Linked DNA regions of Oryzias latipes. The protein of the gene in region 2 interacts with the protein of the main gene of each other region in a pairwise test. Links are inferred from orthologs where the notes say so. Each region holds a gene or a part of one and is shown on either strand. Other genes may lie near its edges.

Region 1 (4,067 bases), on a different chromosome or scaffold from region 2:
AAAATCGAATGACCGTCAACTGTTTTTGTCATGTGAAGGGATAAAAGTAAAACACTATAAAGCATAAAGAGAAGAACGATTGATAGTATGGCTTCTTTGTAACTTAATTCATATAAAAACCCAACACAGTTTCCATTTCAAAATAAACCTAGACAAACATGGTGTTGAAATTTAGGGAATTTAGCAAATTTGGTATCCATAAAGCAAGTCTTACTGGGTTCCTGTTTAAATTGCAAAAGATACTGAAATATCCCAAAGTTAAAGTATTAAAACCCAAGCCTGGAACCCAGTTACAATAATAAGGGAAATATTTGGGAATGAAATGCGAGAGGATGAAGAATATTTTAAGGCATATTATCACCATATTTATAGATTGTTTTTATCACTCACTGAAATTATACCCAAGCTAGTTTTAATCAAATTTTACAAAAAAAAATGCAAATGTCTAAACATATTTATTTTCCATTGCTTATGAAAAGCTAAATTCTAAACTATCTACTTTTATTTGTCTTCAACTATGTTTTAACCAGCACACCTCCTAAAAATGGACATGAAAGAAGCACTCTGACGAGAAACCAAAGTGTTGAAGACCTTCTAGAAGCTTTGAATAAACCCCCTCTGACTGCTATTGATGCCCTGCCTGGTCTCCCACAAATAGCTTAAGAAATTCTAATCCAATTAGATGCAGTCCTCCTCCAAACCATCTGTGAAACTTAAGATGTCACTTCCATAAAAAACAGGAAAAAGCCAACCAAAAAACACGTAGACGGGATTCAAATATTCATTTTGTGGAACATGAAGCTCTGACAGATGTCAAGCATATTTCTGTATCAATACTTTTTAACTTGGCATGATTTAAGAAACTGTATACCGTACCAGGAGGAATTAGCAAACCACTTCTTATCGAGACATGCAAAAATGTTAAAATAAAATAATCACTGTGTTTACAAAATCTAAAAAAAAGTTTACTTTCCTTATCTCCTCAAATATAGACTTTTTGTTCATGCTTCAATTTTCAAGGCTAAATTAACACATAAGACATAACAAGTTTTAGTGGTAAAACAGAAGCTAAGATAACATCTGACTGACTTTGACACAACATGTTAGGATAAATATAAATGTTAAATGAAATAAAGCAGGTGAGATCACCAACAACGGTGTGCAAGTTTCTTTTCCCTCAAAAGGAAGTCAAGATCCAGTGAATTCTGTGATTATAAACAATCTATAATACCAAAAGAATACTTCATATTTCTTTAACCATCTGTTTCCACAGCAACTGCATACTGCAGAGCAGAAATGAGTCCCTCTGCTTAACGGCTTAACATAAAAAAATTGTCAATGCACAAAGAAGACACATTTTAAGATCATTTACCTTTGCTCAAAATAAATAATATTCCCTTTCAAACATCAACATAGTCAGAAATTATGATAAAACCTCGTTTAAAAGAAACTCAACTGGTGTATTCTCTCATTGTACTACCCTGTTTTGACTTTTCACTATAAAAACTGCAACATCAAATGCAATCTTTAAAGGTTTATTAACAATTTAAAAGAAAAGGTTTAAGTGAAGATCTAAATTATGGGAATAAACCGCAAAACTACAGAAATAGGGCGTTTAAATGAGTGAACAGAGGGGATAACCTGCTAAAATAGTTTTAAAAAGATGGAAATGTTGCCTGATATGTTAAATTAATCTGTGGCAGTATGTCTATTGTCACAAATGTTGGAAAACCGTGTACACAATGCGAAATGAGTTGTCTCAAAAAGCCTCCACGTGATGACAGGTGGACCACACCAGTGAGTCTGCAAGGCGGGAGACGCCACCAGCACCAACCAGGGGGTTGTGGCTAGTTTGGTGGACAAAGAAACGACATTTTCCTACATCTGATCTCAAACGAACAATTTTTATTTAAGGAAAGCAGCGATGTGAACCCTGAAAGCCACTCGGGTTAAGCGATTTTAGCTCCAGTCATTTTTCAACTTTAACCCTTAAGGACTGACACCAAAAGTAATGCCAAGCGGCGCACACTAGATACATAAACCAGGGTTGGAAGGTTTGTTATAAAACTTACTTTCAGGACCTAAGAAAAATATAAGATGAAGTACAGCTTAATCTTTCACAACAAAGACTCAGCAGAGGAGGCCACAGGGCTGCCTGGTACTAGCTTAGTGTAGCTATTAGCAGCAGCGCTAACGTTTCAAGCCAAAAACAAAGAAATGCAACATAGTGTTTTAAAATATGATCAAGTATGACTTAAATCGATTTGCCCTTTTATACTACTCAAATGTTTGCACAAAATGTGTTTAGTTGTGATCGTTATTTCCACTTAGGTAATTAAGTTACGTAGCGAAGCTAGCGTGAAGCTAGCTTCTGTATGCCACTAAATAGATAAATTTGCATTTATGGAGGAAAATGGCTAACATAAAAAGTATTTAAAACTATCTTACGCTGTCAATAAAACAGAAACTAGTTATATATAAAGACATGTCAGTTTTGGAAGGCGCCATGTTCACTATCATCCATCACGAGATTGGAGCAGGATTCGCGGCTAAGCTAACGGTGCTAGCACCCGCAGTGTTGTCATTGAGCCCGAGCCATTTTTCACGAGAATAAGCCCAAACTCACCTCCGCCTTGGCGGCACTGGCACACGGCGCTGCAGAAAATCCGCAAAGGAACAGACACCAGGCAGCTTACATTAGTAATTCTCGAGCCGAAGCTTCGGGCGGGGATTTGTGTCCCAGCTTGCCGCCGGACAGCAGAGGTGGGGAAAGAGGTAAACACAGACGGAGCCGAGGGGCAGCAGGTGAACCGAGCGGGGAGCTCTAGTGGTGGAATCCGGCACGTCGCACCTCCCGGCCGACACGTTAAAGGGACGGTGCCCCTGTTTTAGAGGTTCAGAACATTATGGAAAGGAGAAAAACAAACACATAAAGAAAACACTTTTTTTTGGAAATGCACATAAGTAAAATAAGCCTTACATAAAAATAATTAAAGTGAAGTAAAACTAGAAATCAAAACAAAAAAAGTTGGCAACTCTCTTGGTAAAGTATCAAAGCACCTGGCAACATATGAAAAAACACAAAAAACATTTAAAAAAAAACCCACCTAAAGCCTATTTAATTAATCTTAGCCTAAATCGTGTGATACAGTCTAAAAAAACTTTAATAATAAAAAAAAGACGTTCATATTTACTAATTATTAGATATTGCGATAAAATTCTGAATTGTTCCTACCCACCACTGTTGAAACTGAACTAGTTTGTGGCATCATGTCTAATATATAAATATCAAACTTCACTTAGTCTTTAAGCTATATTTCAGTATTTTAATTGTTTTAATGTCTGGGCATCTAAACTAAGTTTTAGTCAAAAAAGAAAAGTTATAAAAGCATTTGTTTTTGCCAGTTAAAAAAATAAACATATTGAGAATGAGAGAACAAGCTTAAAAGGCTAATTTTAATTTAGATTAGGTTATAGTGCAGTATAGAATCCTTATTGTATCCCATTTATTCATTTTACTATCAGACTTACTGTCAAAAGAAAAAAATTATGGCAGTCAAAAAAAACTGCATATGCAGAAATACTGGATTGAACATAAGAAAATATATTAGAAAACAGATTTCTACTAAAATGTTGAGGTTGTAAGGAAAATACGTAGTTTGTTTGTTTTTGCGCCTCTGCACAAACTATCACGGTTTACTCAGCTAATGATGGGTGGTGGTTAGTGACATAATTGTAAAAGTTTTTTTATTTGCCTGAGTCTTCTATAACATGAGCTTTAGCATGTTGAGTTGTGATTTAAATAAACCATAGAACAATGCCTGTTTGTTCTTTTTGTCTCTTCTTGAACCGTGATGGACAGTAATCATGTCCAGAGCTCACACCTCTTCTCACCCAGTAACAGCAGGTATCAGCCCTGCATTCCTGTTAATGGCTTATTGTTGTTTTCTGTGTGGGGGATCATGTGACATTGTTCCCAATTGTTCAGAAGGACTGCAGATTCCAGGTGCTTTGGGTGGTTATTTTACATGACAAAAGCTTTAGATTAAGACTACAGGGTTTGGGTT
Region 2 (3,565 bases):
CTCAAAATTATATTACATTTGAAGAAAGCACAGCCAAACTATTGTTCTAACAGTTTCTTCCCATACTCCCTCTTTTCTGTGCATGTTTTCTGCTGAGCAGGCCTCAGACTTATCTTCACTTTAGCCTTGGAGCTTCTCTCCAGCAGTAACCTGTGGGCGTGTTTTTCACACGAGGTCCATTGGACGATCTTCTGAATATGCAAATGCAGGGTTTTTATACCAAAGCCCATCCCTGAACTCTTTGGTTCGGACTTTGAATGTACCATGTTCATGTCTGTCCCCTTCGTGTTTGTGCGAAGTAAAACCTCCACAAAAGCTAAGTTTTGTCTCTGAGTCATTATTCATTATTTCTGTGTGTAAGAAACTGAAAAGGGAACGAACCAACCTAATATTTTTATTAATACAGTCCTTTCTAGAAAATCCAGTTTCTTCACAGTAATCAAATATTTGGTGTGCATGTAAATGAGCTTTATACAAATTCTACAGCTGGAATGCTTTATGCTAATGTCCAAAGGTAACAAAAAATGTATAAATAAATGTTTATGTATCTTGTGACTTTTGGCTTGGGCACTTTAGACAGTTGCTGCTTTCCTTCTTTCTATAGAAAATCTAATAATAGAGCAAAATGGGCACAAGGTTCTGAGGAGGCTCTACTCATCTCTAATGACGTGCTCATCCATCTACACACAGAAGTGAAGTGTCTCTGGACCGAACAAGTACAAATGGAGAGAACTTGGCAGAATTTATGAGCAAGACTAAATACGGTGACGGACCACATGGAACTGCAGCTGCAGTCGGAGCACCGCCATTACCCAAATTATAGGATGCTGCCTGGACTATGGAAGACTTTTTATCTCAGGATGGGTTTAGAGACACTCCTCACAAAGTCTTAGAAAGGTTTGTTTTTAAATTTTACAACAAATACATTTTAAAAAGAGCCAATTTTCCATTAACTAATGGAATAATTTTCCAATCAACTAATGTTGCTACAACTTCTGCAGTTCAATCCAGCTGCATTCACACATGCATCTCTAATTTCCTCACTGTTTTATGCAGAGCAGCTGTGTAAGACTGCACATCATTGTGTGAAATTCATTGAATCAAGTTCTCCAGTTTGAGGAAAGCAGTTGATTATTTTTAAGAGGGCACTTTTCAGAAAAGAGCTGCTGCTTTTAGCTTTTCTGTGTACTGCTTTCAAAACTCTGATTTATTTCAAATAGGTTCTCCAGCTCCTATTTACAAATAAATAAACACTATAAAACAGAAAAAATGTTTTTTTAACAGAAGCGATAAGATGAATTATGTAAGGGTTAATGGCCGACGAAGTGTGCGGTTACTACTTTTTAACGCACGCCGTGGAAGCCTGAACCTTCGCGTCGGACGGTTGCTTCCGCGAAGTGCGTTAAAAAGTAGTAACCGCACACTTCGAAGGCCATTAACCCGCTTATACCATGGTCACTCACAAAAGCAATACATATTAACCAGGTTTTAGTCCTTAATTCTTGTTTTTTTTCCGATTTGGATCACTTTTCTCATAAACAGCGTACTATATGTTACGTGATGCGGCGTAACATATAGTCCGCGTCGCGCAGCACCACCGCTGCAGTCAAGATTCGGCGATATATATAGGCTCATCGTCCCGATGGGTTGAATAAAGCATCAATTCAGAGGGAAAGTTAATCGCTTACCGCTTGTTTTTGCCCAGATGATGAAGCAAAAGGTTGTTTTACAGAAGCCGGCGCAGTGATACAAATCATTTAAGCTAGCCGACCGGGACTTCTTTTTTCACCGTGCGGTTATCAGGTTTTTACGCATACCCAGCAGCCAATCAGAATCGAGTATTCAACCGGACCATGGTATAATAGAGATATAACCTTTAGCTTTAATATTACTTTGGTTTTTTTGAAGTAAACATTTCTAAAAGCCAAAAACAATTCAATAAAAAAGTTCAGAAGGTTTCTTCAAAGAACTTGAAACTCAATTTTCATATTTTTCTCTGTCATTACAGGTGATTACAGATGAAAGTAATAATCAATAACCCCATCTGTTAAAATAAATTGTTCACAAAGAGGAGGGTGTGTTAAGCAAGAGCATTTCTCAAAGTAGCGTCTTGTGTGATGCATTGTTCTGCAGTTCAAAATCAATATTACATTTCTCCATTTTTCATTCTCCCCCTCACAGAGTAATGTGTGCATTATTTTAGGACATAATAGGCTTTTTGCTGAATTCTAAAGACCTACCATAAACACATTTATGGGTTTAAGAGCAAAGTTCTAATATTCTTGTCACAAAGTTTTACTTTTTTGTTTATAGATGGACAAAGGTTGGTTTCATTCATCTTTTTTTTCATCCTGTTGTGCCAAAATACGCTGATCTCAGCATATATTTACATTTAGAGATTTTTTCTGTATATTCTCATCATATGACATTATTTTGGCAACAGTGAACCCCAGCCTTTAAACCCTAAAGGAGTCATTTTCTCTTCTTAACGAGAAGCCAGAATAACGAGACTTCAAAACATCATTAAAACCACATTAGTCAAATTGCAGCTCTGATTTTCTTTTTTCCACCTACCCATTCTGTGGCTGCTGTGTGCTGGCATTGCCCTGTGAGTGCGGGGTGTTAAGTTTAGGCGAATAGGCCACAGGTTTAATAACGGGTCCTGAGCTGGCACTGCCACCACCTGCTGAAAATGGCCTTGCCATCTTGTTAATGGTTGTGCTCGGGGCAAAGGAGTACTTTGGCTGAGCAGAACCTGCCGTGTGTGAATCCTGTGGGAGTGTCGGGGAAGGGAGGAAAGAAAAAAAAAAGAAAAAAGTACACAAAGCAGCACAGAGCACAACATGCAGTTAAAACTCATGGCACACACAAAAAAAAGTTCTGCTGTTGCACAATCCCCAACCTTTCCAGTCTCCTCTCGTAGCAAAAGATTACAACACTGTGCAAACCGGCCATCTTTTCCTCTGCACAGACGAAGAGCTTCAGTAGTGAACGCTGCTGTTTATTTGTGCTGGCTGTCAGCCAACGACGGGCCAAAGTAACCTGCTGCAGCAGATAAAATATTCGTCTAGAACTGGCATGTCCCACTAATGAGATTCCTCACTGAGCATTATGCACACACTGCAGAACAACTTCTATTAAAATGGAACACTGGTTTTATGCAGGCTCGTGCCAGCTGCTTTGACTAATAGCAGTTTGCATCAGTTCAAGGAGTTCATGACACTATTGTACTTATGAAAGTGCAGTTCATCAGGCAAGTAGCTGTGAAAGTGTGGAAAAAAAAGAGAAACCGAAGGCGACATCGCTCGCTGGTAATGGGGGATTGCACAAGGCAGAACAAAAGAAGACGAGAATTTCTCAAAACAAAACTACGCCAAGCGCACGACTCGTTTAGCAGCTCACTGGTGCTCGGCTGATGCAGTGCTCATAGGTGATTCCAATTCATTTCAACACAAACTAACATGACACACTGTATAATCCAACAGCAAGTGGGGGTTAAAGGACACTTCAAATCTCCAGATGAAGCAGAATCTCACAGCCAAGTGTTGTTGACTGATAGAGGAGC
Region 3 (4,085 bases), on a different chromosome or scaffold from region 2:
GGTTGGGTGCATCAGATTAGACAGAAAGTGCACATGTGTGGCACTTACCTTCTATTTACTACACCTTAAGTTCTGAGGGTACAATAACAAGATGCCTTCTCCATGTAAGCATGTGTTTACGCATAGTTTGTCTTGCCATTACATAAAATCATAAGCATGATAACCTGAAATAAACAAGAGCTTCACTGACAGACAGTCGCTGTGTCAGGTTGATGAGGTGCTCACAGCTCCAGACCAAAAAAAAAAATTTCAAAATATTCATGGCATCACGCCCCCTAGTCCCACAAGTGACAGTGTGTTTTTGTGAGCATTCTCTCCACCTCTGGTTTCAAATGGTGGTAACAGCCTGCAGCGTTCAACCCCACATTTTAAAGTTAAGACCTCCAGTCCCCTGTGTCACATAGTTCAGATGTTTGATCAACCAGTAAGACACGTTGGGATTTTTTTCACCTTTTTGTTGGAGCATGCATATATTCATGATGAGAGTTAATGAGCGACTAAACAGGTTTAAACTTCACGTTCTACTTCAGCCACCGCAGGCCTGGATCTGGTTTGTGTTGCTGCGGTTCTCCCACCCTAATGTCTGAGTGGCTCATTTCAGCCTCGACCCTTAAAAAAACTGTTGTCAACTAGAAAGTCCTGCGCGCAGACGGACGAGATGATTTAGAAATAAAAGAATCTTCCAGACAAAGCGTGGACCTACCTTTGTCTTTAAAGCAACGGACTGTGCACACTTTAGCAGCGCTGTTATGTGCAGCTGGACACGGTGAAGGAGAAAGCACAGGCGGCACCACTGCGCATGCGTCGTAAAACCCTCACCGAGGGCGGGGCCCTTGTACAATTGACATTGAGCAAAACATATTTAATGAATATATATATATATATATATATATATATATATATATGTATTCGTGTTTTATGAATCTATCTATCTATCTGTCTGTCTGAAGACCAACATTTTATTTTAAGATAGAATTACTGAAAAAAAAAACATTTAGTCAGTTGTGATGTGGTACGGAGCCACGTAGTACGGTGACCTGACATGTCATGTGGAATGCTGTATAGCAGTAAAATCGAGTTTTCTCGTTGCCTTACAGACGAAACTCAGGGAAAGGAATATATGTTACCAAGTCACGACAGAAATACACCTGCCAAAGCTATCAGCAAAAAAACAGGCCAATCAAAATCCATGCTATAATACTACTTCTTTATACTGTAAATAATATGCAGGCGAATCTTCATTATAATTTCGGAATTTGTCATTTACAGTAAGGTTTTATGGGTATCAGCCCTCTTCCTCGATGTTCGACCTTTGTGCGCATGCTCCGTTGCCATAGTGACGACTTATACAGCCCCACAAGTGGTTGATACCAGAGCGTCATCGAAGAAAACCCTAATCCTTTAACGAGACATTTAAAAGGTAAACAGTGTATACTGATTTTAGTGAGCGGTTTATTTTTGATTAACGTTACCGATAAGCGTGTTTTATATTTCTCCTTGCATGCTTGTTTGTATTAGTTCTTGTTCGAGCTAAGTAGCGTATTTTAGAACCAGCTAATAAACAATAGCTGTTCACTTAACAGAAATATATGTGAGGATAAGGGCGCAACAAACAAAAGCAAGAAAACCTTTTAGCTTTAATATACAAGATAATCGATGCTCTATATGAAAGATGATATTGAAAATAAAAATGATTCCAATTTGGTAAAGACAAATCTTGAATGTTATATATAGGTGGCTTTCAACAAAGAAGACAATTCCAACATTAACACACTTTAACATTCAGTTCGGTTGTATTATAATTTATATGATAATTAGAATAAAAATATTGTTATTTTAGATTAATTTAATGCCAATCTTTTAAAAACACACCTATTTTTCCTCTCTTAAAAGTTGTCATATTCTGTGTGGGCCTCTATAAGAGTTAAGAAACTCTTGAATTGTTTATCGGTTTATCTGGGTTTATGCCCTCATTTCTCTTGATTTTATTTCTACAATTTTATTTAATGCTAACTTTGCTTTGGATTTGTATGTTCTTCATGAAATAAAGTTTTATATTTTTTAATTTTGTCAATATGAGGTTGGAAAAAAAGCTAGTAAATGAAGTTTTTTTCTTGAAATATCTGTTTTACATCATGACTGAGAGTTGTATAGTTTCCATGATGCTTTGTGTGCAAAACATTTACAAAGATTTATTTTTGTTGTAATATTTTTGAAGTTTCTTCTGTTTTAGATGTGTGAAGGACCTTCATCAATATCTGGCCCAATTCCCCCAGACCCTTCACTGTTTCCTCAATACTACCAACGACCAGCTTCAGGTTAGAAGCACCCAAGCATAGAAAAATACAGGTGTAATGTGCATTTGTCTGTTAACTGTTTTTTTTAATGCCACTTTTTTTTTCTTAATTAAAAAACATTTTCCTAAATGTATATTGAGCATTTTATATTTTCTTCATTTTGGATTAAAATGGCATCATCTTGTTGACTTGATTCTTTCAGCTCGTGGTCGTTTAGAGGGGAACCATGCTGGAACTCTGGGCCTTTTCTTGGGCCCCTTTGCTCCTGATCCTGTTGTGTTCCCAGGCTGCTATAGCTCTCGTACAGCAGTCCACCACCGTCCACGCATTGGCCCCAACGCAGCCCATATTCTGGAACGGGGTCGGAAAGGCGTCGTGGGAGAACTGATGAAACTAGACAACGTCTCAGTCAGTCCTGCTCCAAAACCGAGTAAGTGAAGCTGCTTTATAATCCATTGATATTTCATTGTATTTAAACAGCTGTGTATTGGAACGCAGCTGTGCTTTTTCCATCTATTTAAGTCAAAACCAGTGCTTTTTTAAACTTGTTTTAAGATTTATCAGATTTGTTGTAAATATAAGAATCTCAAAGGTAACTAAAACAATATTTGTGCACTACTTTTAACTGGATGGTAGTAAATTTGGCTAATAATAAAAGATAAAACTATTATTTGGCTAACTTTTGTTGCTTGACCCTGCAGAACAGAGAGTGCATGACTTTGGTAAAGAAAACGTACGCCGGCTGAAGGAGATTCAGAAACGCTGCAAAGAGCAGGAGGCTGAGAAAGCCCAGGCCCGTCCTGTTCCAGTGAAAGCTTTGTGGACTGCTCCAAAATACCAACATGTGTCTTCCAGGGTGCTGGCCCAGCTAGAGGCAAGGACTACTCTTATTTGTCATGAATGTAACGCTTTTGAGCTTTTCTACATGAAAGTGCGATCTGTTCCCCTCATGTAGAGTTCTACACCTACGGTAAAACCACAGTGTCAAAACTTCCTCAAGGCCCACTCTAATGGCAGTTATGCTGCACCATCAGTACCTTCACTTGCTTTCAAAAATTCATGCAACTCTGCGCAGGATCAGGACTTGAAGGTAAAAGATTAAGAGTAACTTTGTAAACATGTAATATTCCTATTTTTTCTACTGTGACATTTTAGTTTATAAACACATTTGGCAACATTTCTGGACAGAAATGGTCATTTTAGAGGACATGTGCGAGTGCTATAGTTAAGCCTTTATATTAAATAACATCCATGTATATGGTAAAATATTACTGGGAACAGACAATGGAATGATTTTTTAATCAAATATGAGTTATTTCCCTGAGCTTTACTTCCCAACCCGGAAGTAAGACGACCCGATCGCTGAGGCACCGGCTTTTGCTCCTCGTGGGTGCAGCCCATTTCATTACGTCATCCACCGGTGTCAGCAATTGTTTATTAAAAAAAAACAACCTCCAAACTTTTGCAAAGATGGATGTGCATAATGTGCATATAAAAGGAAATCACATATAAATATCATATAAAAGCTGATCACCGCTAGCTCCGCTGAGAAAGTGGGTGGGTGGGTGTGTTAGCTTGGGGCCGGAGGTGGCAGCATAGATTCTTCCTGGAAGGGACTGTTCTCACTGGTCTGTGTCAGCTCAAGAGAGACCAATTGTTTTTGTGGGTTTCGAGAGGCTGGTGCTCCGAACACAGAGTATTAGAGGAGTACTCAGAAATGCTTGAACAGAGCAAAATACCGCTTTGGGTTTTTTTTTTTTGTGAGGAATTAACATTATAATTCTAAAA

What was found. The genes of interacting proteins can lie anywhere in the genome.
Region 1: the proteins of pdlim7 (region 2) and zmynd11 interact in a two-hybrid assay, tested with the Homo sapiens proteins (2 studies listed by BioGRID). The link is inferred for Oryzias latipes from reciprocal best matches to the Homo sapiens genes PDLIM7 and ZMYND11.
Region 3: the proteins of pdlim7 (region 2) and enkd1 interact in binary tests that used the Homo sapiens proteins (3 or more experiments, as listed by UniProt). The two-hybrid records come from large-scale screens. The link is inferred for Oryzias latipes from reciprocal best matches to the Homo sapiens genes PDLIM7 and ENKD1.

Annotation. Positions count from the first base shown.
Region 1 is NC_019875.2:8,102,543-8,106,609, reverse strand, and holds the start of zmynd11 (zinc finger MYND domain-containing protein 11), read right to left. Parts: upstream 2,844-4,067; 5' UTR 2,627-2,843; intron 1-2,626. UniProt on the Homo sapiens protein: Chromatin reader that specifically recognizes and binds histone H3.3 trimethylated at 'Lys-36' (H3.3K36me3) and regulates RNA polymerase II elongation. Does not bind other histone H3 subtypes (H3.1 or H3.2).
Region 2 is NC_019868.2:19,528,365-19,531,929, forward strand, and holds part of pdlim7 (PDZ and LIM domain protein 7), read right to left. Parts: intron 2,772-3,565; coding exon 2,575-2,771; intron 1-2,574. UniProt on the Homo sapiens protein: May function as a scaffold on which the coordinated assembly of proteins can occur. May play a role as an adapter that, via its PDZ domain, localizes LIM-binding proteins to actin filaments of both skeletal muscle and nonmuscle tissues.
Region 3 is NC_019867.2:6,232,633-6,236,717, forward strand, and holds the start of enkd1 (enkurin domain-containing protein 1), read left to right. Parts: upstream 1-1,242; 5' UTR 1,243-1,420; intron 1,421-2,218; exon of another isoform or gene 2,219-2,233; coding exon 2,234-2,318; intron 2,319-2,499; coding exon 2,500-2,727; intron 2,728-2,998; coding exon 2,999-3,171; intron 3,172-3,252; coding exon 3,253-3,387; intron 3,388-4,085. UniProt on the Homo sapiens protein: Microtubule-binding protein which regulates microtubule organization and stability. Promotes the stability of astral microtubules and facilitates the proper orientation of the mitotic spindle.